3 linked regions of the Coturnix japonica genome follow. The protein of the gene in region 1 purifies or fractionates together with the protein of each later gene. This does not show direct contact. Links are inferred from orthologs where the notes say so. Each region holds a gene or a part of one and is shown in the gene's direction. Other genes may lie near its edges. The genes, in order: CHCHD4, GFER and Sjoegren syndrome nuclear autoantigen 1 homolog.

The links.
Region 2: the proteins of CHCHD4 (region 1) and GFER purify together in Homo sapiens (co-immunoprecipitation; 3 studies listed by BioGRID and IntAct, with this or other methods). This does not show direct contact. The link is inferred for Coturnix japonica from reciprocal best matches to the Homo sapiens genes CHCHD4 and GFER.
Region 3: the proteins of CHCHD4 (region 1) and Sjoegren syndrome nuclear autoantigen 1 homolog purify together in Homo sapiens (co-immunoprecipitation; 3 studies listed by BioGRID and IntAct, with this or other methods). This does not show direct contact. The link is inferred for Coturnix japonica from reciprocal best matches to the Homo sapiens genes CHCHD4 and SSNA1.

What each region holds. Positions count from the first base shown.
Region 1 is NC_029527.1:8,345,670-8,350,639, reverse strand, and holds the start of CHCHD4 (mitochondrial intermembrane space import and assembly protein 40), read left to right. Parts: upstream 1-2,100; 5' UTR 2,101-2,222; coding exon 2,223-2,244; intron 2,245-4,604; coding exon 4,605-4,703; intron 4,704-4,970. Other genes in the region: TMEM43 (transmembrane protein 43), read right to left, coding at 1-35, 169-263, 386-520, 1,153-1,302, 1,979-1,990.
Region 2 is NC_029529.1:6,124,303-6,130,238, forward strand, and holds the start of GFER (FAD-linked sulfhydryl oxidase ALR), read left to right. Parts: upstream 1-2,039; 5' UTR 2,040-2,074; coding exon 2,075-2,278; intron 2,279-2,437; coding exon 2,438-2,643; intron 2,644-3,650; coding exon 3,651-3,813; 3' UTR 3,814-5,936.
Region 3 is NC_029517.1:13,929,459-13,935,472, forward strand, and holds the start of Sjoegren syndrome nuclear autoantigen 1 homolog, read left to right. Parts: upstream 1-2,397; 5' UTR 2,398-2,403; coding exon of another isoform or gene 2,404-2,444; 5' UTR 2,445-2,446; coding exon 2,447-2,463; exon of another isoform or gene 2,464-2,559; intron 2,560-3,008; coding exon of another isoform or gene 3,009-3,025; exon of another isoform or gene 3,026-3,168; intron 3,169-3,190; exon of another isoform or gene 3,191-3,335; intron 3,336-3,367; exon of another isoform or gene 3,368-3,457; intron 3,458-3,782; coding exon 3,783-4,182; 3' UTR 4,183-4,225; exon of another isoform or gene 4,226-4,396; intron 4,397-6,014. Other genes in the region: WAC (WW domain-containing adapter protein with coiled-coil), read right to left, coding at 604-799, 2,245-2,281, 2,404-2,444. UniProt on the Homo sapiens protein: Microtubule-binding protein which stabilizes dynamic microtubules by slowing growth and shrinkage at both plus and minus ends and serves as a sensor of microtubule damage, protecting microtubules from the microtubule-severing enzyme SPAST.

The sequences.
Region 1 (4,970 bases):
TCTCTTTCTTGATCTCACCATTTTCTTCATACTCCCTGCAAAGAAAAAGAGTGAAGCAAGAAGCAAAATAGCACACACACAAACCAGCTCAATACAGAATGCACGTTTCAACTGACCCTGTTAATAAAACACTCCTATAAACAACTTTTAAAGACCTGTTTCACTCACCTGGAATCTTCATATTCAACCCACTGGTACATTTCCACTTTGCGCTTAAGCTTGACAGCCTGGACGGACAGCCCATAGCTGGGATCAAACAAAGGCTATTTGAAATACAAAGAAAACACAAGTCAGTAGGAATTAGTGAGGCATCTGTGAGCATTTCAACACTCCAATCCCTCCAAACTTGAAATTCTCCCATATCCAAGATGTTAGCTTTACTTACCTTTGCTGTGCTCAGAACGCCTGCTAAGTGCACCAGACTCCCCTCATTTTGTTGAGATACCCTGTGAATGTTGTCAAGAGGGATCACAAGAGAAAGTCCCTCATCAAGAGATTTAGCTGTCCTCAAAGCTCGTCCCTGTAGTCACGAAAAGCAAAATCAAGCTGTGGAGAATCAATGGCATATCATTATCTTATGAAAATAGTAGAAGACAAGTGATCTGCAGAGCCCAAGGACTTCTCAAGACATTCATCCTCAAGGCATAATCTGAAAACACACTTGTAATTCACCATTCTCCTCCAAGTCTAAAACCAAAACAAAGTAACGAGAGTAATTAACACCCTCACTTTTGCAACACTGAATGAGTTCCTATAACAAAATCCTAACAGCACTAGAAATGAATTCCCTATGTTATCTCAAGATAGAGACAGAAGAACTGAACGTGGCTGGCTCGTTCGGCTTCTTTCTATAGCACTACAGCCTCTTTCACCGGGAGCTCATAGGTTTGGGATCTTTTTCCTCACCATACACAGACACTGTTTCTATTACACACCGTTCCACAGCAAGAACATCTATGACTCTGTGATTTCATTCTTACATCCCAAGAATAAGCATCAGCCTCACCCGACACGCTGCCTTCTTTACACTGATGAAGCAATAAAACTACAGCATGACCATTTCCTTGACCCTATACATACAAAACTAGTTGAATGCCACCTTGGCCAACCATTTTAAAGCTGTATATAAACTCTTGATAGTACTTCACTTACTTCATTGGTAAAAAGAAGGTAGAAGGACAGAAGAAATGTCCCAAGTCCTATAAGCATGCCTCCAGAAGTCTCGCTGAGCCTCTCCAGGAACCCTGGCTTGGCCTCGCTGGTGATTTTGACATGTTCTTTTTTGCTTCCTGTGTCAGAAAACTGTTGGAGGTAAACCAGAAATGTAATATTGGTATAAAAGCAGATGGTCTGTTTCAAAAGGAGCTCTTTACCTTTGCTAAATTGCTTAACCACTGCTAAACGGCACTGCTTGCATTGGAGCTGAACCTTCCCACACTTATTAAATCACAGAATCACAGAATGACCCGGGTTGGAAGGGACCTCAAGGATCATGTAGTTCCAACCCCCTAAATGCCTTGTCCCAATTTTGATACCAGAAATACAGCCAGTAAATAGACCTTAACTAAGAAAAACAATGCCTATAGCATTGGCAAAGCACATCCCTTCACACATCCTTCAGCCTGTCTCTACGTTCCCTATTTGGTATCCACACCCAGCGACAAACTGAGTAATACTCCCAAATTCCAGACTAGCTACAGCACAGCTATAAATACCACAATGCAATCCCACAGCACACCCTGCCATAACTGCACCTTGGGGGACTAGAAGAGCTCTCAGAACAAACTTCTGCTGCTATGCTGAGCATTGCCACATTAGAACACCAACAACACAGGGTGTGAGGAGCACCACAGCTCTGTGCTGTGGGTAATACCCAAGCAGCAATAGCGGGTAGAGAGGGGAGGAGGCGAGGCCCCTCTGGAGGAGCCAAGCGGGATCTGACAGCTATTGGGATCCCCCACAGGAGCTTATCACTTACATTCCTCGACATCTTCGGCCTCTTTCCCTCACAAACCAGAGAATCCACCAACGACAACCGCTCAGCAGCAGCCGCGCCCACCTCGATGTGAGGGCGTATGCTTCCTGGTGTTAGAGTTCAGTGTGTGTTCTTCCGGAGGTCAGCGGGCACAGCGTGGAGCTGCGGCGGTGTTGGAGGAGGAGGGGAAGGACGCGGAGCCGGTCTGCGATCGCACTGAGTGTGAAAGGCAGCGGGCGGCTCCGCCATGTCCTACTGCAGGCAAGAAGGTGGGTGCCTGCGTCCTCACAATGTCACCCTGAGGCGCGGGGGCGGCGCCGCTCGAAGGGTGGAGGGGAGGCCGCGGGTTGTGTGGGTGTGGGGCACCACACGTTTCATTTCTAACCTGGGGGATGCATTTATCTTTCCCCCTTTGTGGATTGTGATTTATCTTTCCTCCCTTGGTGTGGAGTTTCATGCTGCAAAGAATGTCCTGAGTGCTGCTTTGAAAGGATAAACTCGTCACTCTGGATAGTGATTATATACTGTGATAACTTCTGGTTCTCTTTGCCTTATTATTATTAACTCACTTTATTGATATCTTGTATTTTTACCAGCTCTGTCCATTGCCTTATGGCATCCTACAAAATGAATGATAGCTGCAGTTATAGTTCATGTTATAGTTGTGGTGATGGGGTTATAGTTATACTTCATGCTAGCAGTGATGATATTTCATCCACTTCTAGTTCATTTCATGTATGAAATCCCAGCTGTTCTGCACTGTAAAGTTGGCTGGAATGCCACACGGCTGACAATAGTTTCCCTTTTTGAAAGAATCCAGGTTTATCTGCTTTTCACACCTAGTGTTCAAGACCAGGTTGGATGGGACCCTGGGCAACCTCATCTAGTAAAGGTGTATGTTTGGTGGCCCTGCCAGGCAGGGGGGTTGGAACTACATGATCCTTGAGGTCCCTTCCAACCTGGGTCATTCTGTGATTCTGTGAGACTGAATGCAAAGAAAGGGAATTACTGAACGTTTTCTGGTAGAGGTCATGCTGAAGGACAAGAAGATGCTAATTCATAACGTGCTTTGTCATTGCAGTGGCCTTTCTGAATTTGGAGCTGAAGTCTTTGGGGTGCTCATTCCAGTCTGTGAATGCTGTGTTATACATTCAGAAAAGCTTCAGTTAGATGTTCTCTTCTGCCTGTATCTGCCTTAAAGCAGTTTTCTACAACCTTACAGAGTTGTTGGGAAACTTTGCCCTGGTTGCCAGCCAAGCCTGTTTTTTTTTTCCCCCTTCATAACTACTTTGTTAAATCAAGAGTGACACAAGAGCAGGAAGTACGCTCTGTTTTTCTGCCCTTGTTAATGTTTGCAGCACCTTTCAACACAGGCTGCTCTAGACCGTTAAAGTGCTCTTTAGTATTTAATTCACATAATAATTATAGACTATGACATGACTCTGTAATGGAGGCTGCTGATCTTAATTAATATCCTGCTGAATGCTTTCTGTAGCACAGGAGAGTTTTTCCTTTCACTTTTGGTCCATTTCCATCCAGCCTCTTTAGCTGAATTTGTTCTCCCAAGAGAGCAGTAGTTTCAGATGGTTTCAAAACAGCTCTTTAACTTTGCAATCCAGTGAACTGTACAGTGATTTACAGCTGTTACAGTACTTTGCTGTGAAAAGCAGAACTCTAGAGCGAAAGGATTTGGTAGTTTCTATATATTCTAACATGTAAATGGGTAATGAGTATTACTTATGTAATGAGTGCTTTAAAAGAGGACTTCCCAAACTGTTTTATGTTCACCTCATCCTCACTTCCTTCCTGTATAACATAATAATTAGTTTCTTCTACAAGGTGCTGTGACTTTAATAATTAGTTTCTTTTACCCACGTGGGATTTGTGGCTTCATATTCAGTGGCAGTGTTGCTTAAGGTACTTCATTTTGGGTTGCTTGCACCCAGCTCCTGTCACTGTGCTGTGCTGATCCCTGACTCGGTTAAAGAGGGGAAGGAGCGGAGAAGGTGGTGTTAAAAAGCAAGTTCTCTGTGACATCTGTTAAATGCTGCCTCAGCTTGGAAATAGTGTGCAGTCCTTTACTGCTTCCGTGAGTCCTGTATGCTGATTATGGTCTCCTTTAGAAACAAATACCTGTCTTATCACATCTCTCTTCAGTGCAGTCTCTGTAGGCATCTATTTGCATTGCATAACTGTGCCATATGCAAATATTTATTGTAAATCTCTAGTGGGTTATGACTTTTTCAGTTCTTATTGAATATTGAGAATAACTTCCTACGGTTACATGGGTGTGGTACAAAGACAATGGGTTCAGTTCTATTCTCTGTTCTAGATAAATTACTACTCATCTTTTCAAGCGTAGGTTGATTTTCTCCTAGGCCTTATTTCCAGTTCTTTTATAACTTTCAGTACCTTCCCTTTGAATACTTTCCCAATTCTCTTTATACACATTTTCCTGTGAACCAGCAACTTGTAATTGAAGATGCTCAATAAGGAAAGTAGAATTCATTCAATATTAACATCAGGGCATCATGTTGAGTATCTCATTACTGTGTTCTGGTCAGCCACTTTGTCAATTACTTACTCTCAGCTTTTCCTGATCTTTTGCTTATTGTCTCCTACACAACAGGAAAGGACAAAATTATCTTTGTGACAAAGGAGGACCATGAGACACCAAGCAGTGCTGAGCTGGTCGCAGACGATCCAGATGACCCTTATGAGGAACACGGTAAGTAGCTGAACAGAATGAAAGCGGAGATTGATACACCATGTATTTCATATGCTAATTATATTAATTCATTTTTAAAGACTGAGCTAGTAGGGCAGCGGTTTCAGTAAATAAACATTTTATTCAGTAAACTGAGAAAACTATGTAGTAAATTATACAGTCAGACTCCTCTCAGTCTTAACTTCCAAATCAGGACAGCACAAATGATGTACTTTCCAAATGTGTTTTCTTTTTCTTTCAAAGTCACCTCTTCATGACTTGTTTTAA
Region 2 (5,936 bases), on another chromosome or scaffold:
AGGCATGGGGATGCCCTGGGAGGTTGTGGGGTCTCCTCCTTGGAGATGTCCAATCCCACCTGGATGTGATGCTGGGCATCTGCTCTGAAGCAGGGTAAGACCAGAGGGACCCAGAGATGCCTCCAGCCTCATCCAGTCTGGGATTCTGTGAAAATTCTCTAAAGCACTTAAAACACATTCATGAAAAGTCAGTGATGTTTAAGTTCCCAAGTGAAGCAAAAGCCTCTGCAAGTATCACTCCCTATTCTCAGCTCAAAATCTGGTAACAGACAAGTACATGCCAGCAGGCGGCCTGAACTATTACCTTTTGATATCGTTTGCATCCTAGAAAGTGGGCCATTAGGGTAGCAGCAAAAGCTGTGTCCTCTGTCTGTTAGTTGCATCAGTTACCTGTGAAAATTAGCAGGTTTTCTGCCAACATAACCATACCCAAATGCACACAGCTGGGGGCCCAACTGCACTGAGAAGAGCTGCTTGGCCTTCCTCAGAGTCTCCCTTCCTTAGTTCTCCCCTCCTACTTTGCTGCTGCTCTCAGCCCAGAGGGTGAGCAACAGAATGCGTGCTTGGCCTCACACACAGCTCAGCTCCTGCTTCTGCTTCCTTCCCTGTGTGCTCGCTATCATCTGCCAGCTACTGAGCCAGTTTAGTGAATGCCAAGATAAGAGCAGAACATCAAACAGCAGTCTTCCACTCAGAAACACAAACACACCCTTTACTTTTTTTCTCCAGCACAGAGTTTACCAACACTTCCTGGTAATTAGCGTCATTACATCCCCTATTCCAGTCACTGAGAGACTGTACAGAAGATGTACCTGTCCAGTAGGCTTTGGTGAGCCCTGTCTTCCAGATACAATTACATCATGCAAGATATGGGTGTGTTGTTAGCAGAGCCTGCTGCAGGTTATCGCATGCCTGGACTGGGGCTGAGGAAGCCTCACCTGGGCAGTACCAGGGTGCTTCATATCCACTGCAGGAGGTGGTCAGACTGCGCTTAGAGACAGGAAAGTGTATTCCTCACTGTGATTTGTATAGGAGCATTGCAACATTTCTGCTCTTCTTGCTCTCTCTGACCAGAAAAGGGGCAGACGGAGCAACACTGAGCACAGATAGCATCTTAGGTGACAGCTTTCTTTACCTTTATGAACTATTTGCCTTCAAATAAAAATCCATCTTGCTGATATTTTACCTGACTAAATAAATGGAAACACTAACAAGAAAGCAAACAGGCCGTTAACAGCCAATCAAGGACACAGCTTTGACTTATAAATGTCTCTGCAAAAACGTAATTGCCAGGAGGCAGAGCAGTAAAGCACTGCAGGAAATTCCCCCGTGTCTCTCCTAGATACCAGCATACTCCTTATTTTAGAATTTAAAGCATCATTTAAATATTTACTGGCGAAAAGGAAAACAAATATAAAGAATATCTTTTCCTTTACTAGGTTGACCCTTTCATGCACGATATATCTTTGTATCTATAGTTGTCTATGACTTCAGACAAAGCCAGTAGCTGCAGTTGCTCGTGTTTCTTCTCCTTCCCACGTGAATAACTGCAACAAAATGCCATTCCCACGCAGAGCACACTAAGTTTTGAAGTCTTATTTCTAAGGGCAGCTCTTTGAAGCGTTTTCTTTGCTGTGTTATCTACCAAAATTGTTTTAGCACGTTAAGTACATCACAATGTAAGAGCTGGAAATGAGCAGTATTTTCCCAGCCCCTTTCACACAAGTGGTGTCTCTGCAGAACCTGCAGCACTTAAATTAATGACTTAGACAAGACTCGGGGTGCATTTCAAGTAACTACAGAACATCCAGGAAGGATCGGTGTGTGGAGATGTGCGGCCATGTCTGCTTATGGAGGGCTCCTTCACCACAGCTGTTGGACAGGGGAGGACGGTGCTGACCTAATGGGAGCAGGGCTGAACCAAAGAGAAGGAAAAAAGCAACTTTGTGATTTACATCCACAAAACCCCCCGTCAGAATCTCGAGGGACAATTCCATGATTTTTAGACCCAAACCGCCCCCTCGCTGCCAAACGACACGGCCGCCCCCGGCCCACGGTGCACTGCGGCGCCAAGATGGCGGCGCCCAGTGAGGGCAGGCCCGGCCGCGGCGCCTCATCGTTCCCTGGCACTGAAGGCGGATCTTTCGCTTTTCCTTTCACCGTTCCGCCCGGAGTTGCCGGCTCCGGAGCTGAGGAACAACCCAAGAAGCCGTGTAGGGCCTGTACGGATTTCAAGAGCTGGCTCCGAGAGCAGAGGAAGCAGCAGGCGGGCGGCGTGGTAAGGCAGGCGGGCTGTGGGGCTGCACCCTCCCGCTTCCCATCCCTGGAGGTTCCAGGGGGGCTCCTATTTTATTCCCTTCATGCGTGTGGCACTGGGCGCTGTTGCTATCCCTGCACCCTGCTGCCTTCTCCTATAGCTCTCTCCCTCCCTCCTCAGGCCGCAGTGGAAGAGAAGGAGCCACCCCCTGATTGCCCCCTGGACAGCGAGCAGCTGGGCCGCAGCACCTGGGCCTTCCTTCACACCATGGCTGCATACTACCCCGAACGGCCCTCAAGAACTCAGCAACAGGAGATGAAGGATTTCATCCGCCTCTTCTCCAAGTTCTACCCGTGTGAGCAGTGTGCTGAGGATCTGAGGGAAAGGTGAGTTGCCTCATCGGTTTCTTCTGTGTTTTTTTTATTTTTTGTTATTGCTGAAGGGGCCTGAAATGCTGCCCTGCTGTGGGTGTTTGCATATCTTTGCTCTTCCTGCTGTTGGGGTTTATAGGCACTTGAACTGGTTTCTTCCGTTGCATAGATCAAAGACTTATTCCGAAGACAAATACCTTGTCTAGTGCTGTTGGGTTCAGTGCTGCCTCCAAGGCCTCCCTGAGGCATTTTATGGCCTTGTGGTTTAGACTGGACTTGCACACAATCGTGGGATAAACTGGGACTTGGAATTATTCAGTTTTTGGTAGGCAAGACCAGGTTGGACAGGGCTCTGGGCAACCTGATCTAGTAAATGTGTATGTTTGGTGGCCCTGCTAGGCAGGGGGGTTGGAACTACATGATCCTTGAGGTCCCTTCCAACCCGGGTCATTCTGTGATTCTGTGTGTGCTTATATCTCAGAAGAGCCACAACCTCCCACCATTGGAGGCAGACACTTGAAATGAGCTGTGGTATCGGGTAATTTTCTACCTCTGTCGCTGTCAACATGTTTCTCAAAAATTTGAACTTTTTTTTTTTTTTTTGCTTTTATTTTGGATAATGAACGTGCAAAAAAGGCTTGAAACCGAATTATTAAGTATCACTTGGCAAAAGAACTGCTTAATGGTTTTCATTTATTGCTTTGGTAAAACCCTTTTAAAAAGTCAATGTATTGATGATCACAAGTACTTTTTGCTGTTTATCACAGCTAAGCCTTTTGATTCCTCTGCCTTTTACAATTGACAAGACTAGGAACTGACTGAAACCAGGTCAGTTGTGATCACTGGCATTTTAGTGTGGATGTTTGGCCTCTGATGATTACAGTGTGCTCTGTCTTGGGGTCCATTTGGAGTTCTCATGGTAACAGAAGTGGAGACTGGCTGTCTGCGTGCTATGTACCTGCTTTGGGTATTGAAATTGGTGACTAAAGCAGTAACGTTTGTTTCCTCTTCCCTGTTTGCAGATTGCGAACAAATCAGCCTGATACTAGCAACAGAAATAACTTCTCCCAGTGGTTATGTCTTCTTCACAATGAAGTGAACAGGAAACTGGGCAAATCTGAATTTGACTGCTCTCGTGTGGATGAGCGCTGGCGAGATGGTTGGAAAGATGGTAGTTGTGATTAATCCATAGGGGACTGCTTTGGAAATCCAACAGATTCACTCTGCTGTTTTGACACTGTGTAGAGATGTGCAAGTAAATATGTGTGAGCGTGTGTGTGCATGACTGAGATGACTTGTGGAAATAAAGGTGGAACCAACTCTGAAAGCCAGTTTGAAAATCTTATGCTCGTAGCACCTGGATAAATGGTCGTATCAAATGCATTGTCTGAGGAACTGAGGCCTTACATGTGGCACAGGAATTGCCAGAAATAAGTGAAACTGAGTTACTCAACAAACCCGTGGATACTGTTTCATGACATTTCCTTATTTTAGGGGCATTTGCTTGTATCTTTGACTTGAATTCCTGTTCCTTGCACGCAGTTGTAGAGAGCTGCCCTGTGACATTTCATGTTTATTTGCAGTTACTATCCTGATGTGTTTGGAATTTCATTGTCATTTTCACTTCTTTTGTTCTGATAGGGCAAATTCCTGCTGTCTATATCCCTTAAGCTTTCTTAGAGATCTCTGATGCTTGTTGTTAGACTTGCTAAAAAGCAGGTACATTTAATTTAAATGCTAAAATCACAGAACCTTGATTTCTCATTTTATTTCTGTTTCAGTTTATCACATAAGAGTGTATCATAGAAAAGAGACTAGAACAGGACCAAAAGAACTATCAAGAAGTATCAGCTGGGTTAAATTCAGATGTTTTAAATTGATTCCTCTTTTTCTTTCAATCCAGAAGCAGTCTGACAAGTTCTACTGAGCTATTTGCTTTTAAAACTGACAACTTTTCATCTCTATGATTTCAATTGCAAAGACTGCTGTAACGATCTGAGACTGGTATCTGTAATGAAACATATTCAGATTTGTTTAGCATATAGTGTTTCTAAGGCATCATTTGTGTTTTGCAATTCGTGATTGTTACTTATTGATTTAGTTGATATTTTGGTGTTTTCGCCTAGATAAAAATCTCTCTGGAACAAAAGGACTTTAAATACCCTTATGATATTTGAGTCTTCTTTAAGACTGATGTCAGCTTTAGATAGAATTATTGTACAGAAGACTCCAAGGATTCCCTCTGTAGAAACTGGTTTGTTCTATTGGCATTTTCCTTACATCAGCTATATTGCATCAGTGTTACTGACGCATAAGTGTGAATTTGAGTTTCAAGTGAAATAGCAGCATAAATGATACAATGAATATAAATGCATTTCTCTACAAAGCCACACAAATAAGTCTTAATACTTTCAAACTCTTAAAATATACAGAGATATTTTGCCCTTATTGCATTTTTGTCTGGGAAAGTTTGCAGGAGTTTTCACAGATCATGATAATAGGGGCCTTTTCCTTCTGTACTTCCTGCAGAGCTTTTCCTTGCGTGATTTAGTAAGCTTCCTTGTTTCATGCGTTACAGTTGGTATGTAAATTTACTTTTGATGATAGAATGAGAGGTTCATGGTAATGGTACTTTTATAACAGTATCAGGGTGACGATAGCCTATATGTGAGAACTTTGATCTCCAAACGTTCACGTGTGGGACTCCTTACTGTTTAGAAAAGCAATTAGAACTTTGGAAATATATTTCAATGTTTTATGGTGTCCTAAAGCCTTTTCAAGTTGGACCTGTTAAAACAGTAAGACACAAATTTTTATGGACTGGTTATTCTGGGAAGTTTTGTTTGTCAGTGTTCCTAAACACAAAACCAACAGAAGTGCTGAGTGTTTTATGAAGTATATGCAATTTGACTTCCTACCTCATGGTGTTGTGTGGGCTATTAAAAGTGCTCAGAAAGTTTCTCTCTTGCATGCAGGAGGGCTGCTGCTCTGTCCATGTCTTAACAGTGTGGAGAGTTAAAAAAAAAAAAACAATTAAATTGTGCATCCCTCTCAAAATCAGTGAGAGTGGCCATGGCAACACAGAACCTTGGTCTCCTTGTGTTGTCCAAGGAGATGGTGGAGTTGTGTGCAAGGAAAAGCTCCTGCCAGCAGGTACTGTTTTGTTCTGACAGTGGTGCAGAGGAGGAAGAGCCTTCAAGCTGAAACCATCATTTTCAGTGAATGAGTCCATACGGTGAGGGCACAAGCTCTGGCTGCCAGGATGTTATTAGGGCAGTTTGTAACTTTGCTAAATAGCCATTTGGTAA
Region 3 (6,014 bases), on another chromosome or scaffold:
CAAACTTTTTAAACCTCCAGCTGTTACTCTCCTTTACCAAAAGGAAAACTCTACTCTTAGGCGTTTTTAGGAGGTAGAAATAGAAAATAACACCAGCTTAAAACTTCTGAGCACACTATTATCATCTGAATTACACTGTAAAAAGATAGGAGGCTACCTGACTAAGCTTCTGCCAGGAGATATTGTACTAAGTGCTATCTTTGATTTTAACATTGTTAGTTTACAGCAACCAGATCTAAAGCTATTTTTTATCATTCTCAGAGTGTAGCCCAGGAAGCACATACCTACATTACAGAAATACTAAATTATTTTTACTAAAATAGCAACTTAAACCTTTAAGATTGTCAATCTCTAGAACTCTAGAATATGGTTTTATCTTATTGAACGTTGCAGTATGCAGAACTCTCATACCTGTAAAAATAAGACAGCTAACAGGTGTTACAATGCCTGCTTCCAAGCAAACATGGCTTTTGGTTTCACAGCAGTCTTCCGAGCATCAAAGAACATCGCTCAACGCAATGCTCCCTTCACCTGAGTGACAACTGTTTAATTTTATGAGGAAACAGTAATCGCTTAAAGAAAGGTTAATTAAAGACAACTCACCACCATCCCTCTCTCTAACTCTGTGAGTATGCACACTTTTTGCTTTACTGTGCCCTGTGTTGTCACTGTATTTGTTTTCAGGGCTATCAGAGCGCCGCAACATTTTATTTGGTGGTGAAGGATCTGTGGTGTCTCGCATCTTGTCATGACGATGATCACCACCACTTGGGTGACTCTTGGATGAGTACTTAAGAGCCTGAAAAAGATCACAAGAAAACAGGCATTTTCATCAGATATAGATACAGAAAGAACATTTTAACATCAGTCATAAATTTCAGATCTTTCTTCTAAAACACTTTTTGAAGTAATTAATTTTTATTTCCCATTTAAATAACCACTATTCATCCTCTTAGTTTTAATTACCTACATTAGAGCAACAAGTTCTGTAATTAGGACTGAAACCATTTGCTCTCACCACGACATCCAACATAACATTTGCTGTTAAGATAAGCCTAATTTCTTCCTATTTTCTCAGTGAAGGACTGCATACTTTAAACGGTAAGTGGGGCACAAAACCTCTGACACTCAAAACAAGCACAAGTGCAGCTGGTACTAAAGAAATAAAGAGACAGTTATATTGAAACAGAGTGAACTGTAAATATCCATACTGTAATGGAGGCCACTTCCTTTTGCATCAACGTTAAGCTTCTGCAGATAGACTTCAGTACTAGCAAGCCCATAACAGATACAATAAAAATCTAGAATTTGGGGGGGTATTTAAGAGGGCAGAACATAATGTGACAATTCATTTTGGAACATTTACCAAAACTAACAAGTTATGTCTCTTTTTGATCTGCTTGATTTTGCAGAGCGAGCTCATGAGTGGCAAGTGTTTTATATTACATGAACTGTCACTGACAGCTGCCTCGGACCATCAGATGACACTTCACAGTGATAGAAACACTCAGAAATGTAATAAAATGGTTTAGTTAAATGCCCTAAGAAGAGCAGTATCCCTACACACAGCGTTCCCCAGACTCACACCCTCCTTAAGGTATAATTTTATTTTTCTTATTTTTATTCTTTCGTATTTCTCATAGGCATTAGACTACGGGACTCATCATACTTAAATTGAAGTTACTGTCAAAAGCCAGAGGATCTGATGTTTTTGAACACCCCCAGCAGCTGGCAACTGTAGAGACTGGCAACTGTGGAGACGAAGCCCTACTGACAACCCCAGTTCAGGGTCTAAAATCATGCCCTGCTCAGGTTACAGCCCGCAGCAGCAGTTTTGGGGAGAAGGGCCTCGGGGAGGGGGGCGGGGGGCGAACAAGCCGCCTTTTGTTTTTAGGAGGACAACGTTCCCCTTCCCCCGGCTCTCGGCTCCTCCGCCCGTGACCCGGCCGCGCTCTCCCGCCCCTGTGCTCGCACCTCCCGTCTGCTAGGCCCCGGCCCCGCGCTAGGCCTCTCCTACCGGCCCGGCCATCGCAGCGGCGCGGCGGCTCCGTTCCCCCGGCTGCGGGCCGGAGCCTGTTCCCTTCCCCACCTCTCGGGCCTTACAAGGCACCGCGGGCCGGGCGGGAGCCGCGCGGGGCAGCGCGGCCTGCGGCGGCGGCCGAAGCCTGGGCTGGAGTAGCTCCCCCCCCACCTTCCCTGCCCTGCTCCTCCTCCTCCCGGGCCCGGCGGCCGGCGCGGCGGTACCTGGTAGGGCTGCGAGTCCCCCCTGCGGTCGTGACAGCTGCGGAGAAGGCGAGAGAAAGAGAGAGAGAGGCGTTAGTGAGGGCCGTTACCGGGCGCCGGGAAGGGGCCCAAACATGGCGGAGGCGGGGGGAGAGCCGCGGGGCCGAGGAGGGGATTTACCCATCACTGAGTCTCTGCTGTTTCCTCGCATACATTACCATCAATGCCCGGCCTGTGTGTGTGAGTGTGAGGGGACCAGGAAGGGACGGCCGCGGCCGGGCCTACGGGCGCCGAGGGGGGAGGAGGGGAGCGGCGCTCCGCCTCGCCGCCGACCGGGGGCAGGGAGGGGGCAGGGAGGGAGGGGGCGGCTCGGCAGCTGTGCTGGGAGCGGCGCTCACGGGCCCATCTCCGCCGCGCGCAGCCTGAGGGGAGACGCCGGCAGCTCGGCCCCGCTGAGGCGCTCCGGGAGCGCGGACTCCGTCGCTGCCGCCGCTGCCGCCTCCTCCCCCCGCTGCGCCCGCCGCCGCCGTCGCCGCTCCTCCAACTACATCCGGGAAACTCGGGCGACGCCGCGCTCGGTTAACGTCGGCTCTTTTCGGCTCTTTCCGACGCGCTCCGTCCCCTCTGTCCCCTTTGCTCTCGGGCGACTCTGCCTTCGGCAAACATCGGCAGTCTCCGCCGAGCCCAACGCCCTTCAGTCTCTCCCTTCGGCAAACATCGGCTCGTTCCGTAGCTCTCCCCCCCCCTCCGGCCGGCCCGCCTCGTCCTCCACTCCCGAACGCTACCTGTCTTCGGAAAACATCGGTTATTTCCGTAGAGAGGCTTTCACGCTCTCGTCGGGGTGACGCCGCCTTCGGAACCGTTCGGCTATTTCCGTGACCTGCGCGGCCGTTGGCGGGGCGCGGCCGATTGGCCGAGGGGAGCGAGCGGGGGCGGCAGCGGCAGGCAGGTGGGGGCGATGGGGGGGGACCGCGAAAGGAGCCGAGGTGGTGCGGGGGGGATAGGAAAGGGAAGGTCTCCCCTCACTCACCTCCCCCCTCCCCTTCCGCCCGGCGCCTTGATGTATAGGCAGGAGCCATTTTGTGTACGTTGGGTTCGGCGAGAGGCGCTCGGTAGGGAGTGGTTGTTAAAATGTCCCTGGGGAAGCGGCTGGCCGGGCCGCGTCCCTCCTTCCCTCTCAGCTCCCCCTGAGGCGATGGCGGAGCTCGGGCCGCCTCACGCGTGGAGGGAGCGGGTGAGCGGGACGGGCAGCGCTGCCCTGAGGAGCTGGGAGTGATCCAGCCCTGCTGGGTTGGATGGGCCCACGGGCAGCATGAGCTGCTGGGTGGGTGCTCTGCCCACGGCATGGTGTTGGGACTGATAGCCTTGAAGGGCCCCAAACCATGCAATGATACAGAGCCTGAATCTTGTCCTGCCTCCTTAATGAAAAGGGAAGTGACAAGCCCCCCTCAGAACTGGCCTGTAGCAGTACATCTTTCCCCACAATGCTGTGTTTAAACATAGCATCACACTATAACTATAGTTTTTCTCTCTGTTCTTGTTTTTGTGTTAACGTGCAGAAGGCTGCAGCTGAGAGGACACCTCAGGAAGCTCACGGACAGACAGGAGCAGAGGATGACCCAGCAGGGAGCTGTTCTTCAGGGTTACAACAATGAGCTCGTTAAGTGTATTGAAGACTTGTGTATGCAAAAAGAGGAGCTGAACAAACAGATCCAGCAAGCAGAAGAGGAGAAAAGCAGACTCCAGCATGAAATTCAAACCCTCAATGAACAGTTGGAGGGGGTGTGTGAAAACCTGGCTCAGAAGGTAGCTTCGCGGAACGAGCTCGATAAAATTCTTGCTGAAACTGAAGCTGCTTACATGAAGATTTTGGATAGTTCCAGAACTTTGCTTAGTGTCCTGAAGAAGGAAGTGGGAAGCTTAAAGCGTCCGCCAGAACTGAAAAGTAATGTAACCTGAAGCTGTTAAATGTCTGCACTTCCCAGTTCTAAAATTCCACTAGGTGAGAAGCGGTCAGACACAGCACCCTGTGACAGCACTATGAGCTGAGGGGCCTTTCTTCCAACCTTTCCACTTTCCCATAATTTTTAAATGCGTTAGAAACACTGTAGATAAAACAGATGAAATAAAGTTGCCGTTTTCTTATTAAAGAAAGTTCATAATTGCTCTTAAATCACAGCAAAACTAAACTGCAGATATGTAGCTGTCAGTTTGGACATAGTTATGCTTCAAGGCTCTTCTGAAAGACAGGAAAAATGTTTTATTGGCTGGATTTTGGCTGGTTACTGTGGAATGGCTGTTTGATAGAATGTTACTTGAAATCTGGACAGAATGCTCGCATTTTTTCCATTGCTCTTTTACCCAAAGCTGTGTTCATGGCTTCTCTGAAATCCTGCTGTCTTTCTCCCATATCCTTTTTTTCCCCTTACCTACATGTGTAGACAGAAAAGCACTGTAGAACTAATGGATGCAAGTAGCTTATACTTGTTGCTTGACTTTTAGGGACCAAGTAGGAATTAGTTTTTTAGCCTTCTTAAGGAGTCTGGACTTCTCTCCGTGATCCACGTGCAGCCCCTGTTGACAATCATCTTTCACTTAGCTGGAATTTTGGAGGAATAATTTGAGAAAATGTGATTTAAGCAGGGTATGAAAGATTAACCTCACAGACTGTGTCAGGTTTGTGTATCTTCTGAAGCTGTACTCTAAAGCCTTGAGTAGAAAGGAGTTATGCTATGGTGAGAGATGGATTTGAGTGCAAGTGGGAGGCATGACCTTGCAGGGCACAGTGCTGCAGGGAGCTGTACAATATAAATGAGGGCCATCTAATATTGCAATAAGGCTGGAAAGAATAGTGAACAACCTAGAATGGAGGGAAATAAATGCATGTGAGAGGTCAGAATTGAATTAGTAGTAAACATGCAGCTGCTCGACATTCTTGTAGGTGAGATTTAAATAGAACCCAAGTAGGAGAATGGAGAGGATGTAAGAATATAGCAGAAATCTCAGTCTCGTTTCCTATTTCTGGTAGTTAGTAAATATGTGTGTGCATGCATTTTTTCCTGCTCATTCATGTATTATGGCAGCAGCTTTATGTTTAAGTCAAGCCTTCATAACAATTCGCTAAATTGGAGGAAATGCGATTGCAATCTCTTCTCTTAATAACTGTGTCTCTCAGGTGCAAGTATAAAGAGCATGCAGATATGAATAGCTTCAGTAATAGCTCTTCACCAATAATTATAAACATTTTATGTCCTGATTGCCACGCTACATCTTCTGCAGTGGGGATTAGCGAGACCGAGCTAATCGACAATTTACTTGTATAGCTTTGCCACCAGCTTCCCCTGAGTAATGCTGAGGTAATAAAATTAGATAATCTCAGGAGTGTTGCTATTGTTGAGGTGCCACAGTATTTGTGGCAGCTCTGTTTATGCTGAAGTGAAACACAAAAGCCAAAATGTTGTTTTTCTTTTAGTAGCAAAAAGGTGATTTGGCTGGGATACCTATTGGATCCCACCTCTGTCCCCTTAGTCTGGTTACAGTAGTCATTAGTTTATATCAAAATAGGATGTCTCAGAAAAGGTACTGATTAAACAGCAAGGACTTAAAAAACAGCATGTAAACTGATTCATCTTACTGTATAAAGGGGAGTTTGAAATTGCCTACGTGAACAAACTTACATGGGAAGTTTGTTTACAGATTGGCAGAGCAGTGCAGTTAATTCCTGTTTTCTAATGACTACTGGCTTGCTTGTCTTCAAATAAGCCATAAATAATCATAAAATCATAGAATGG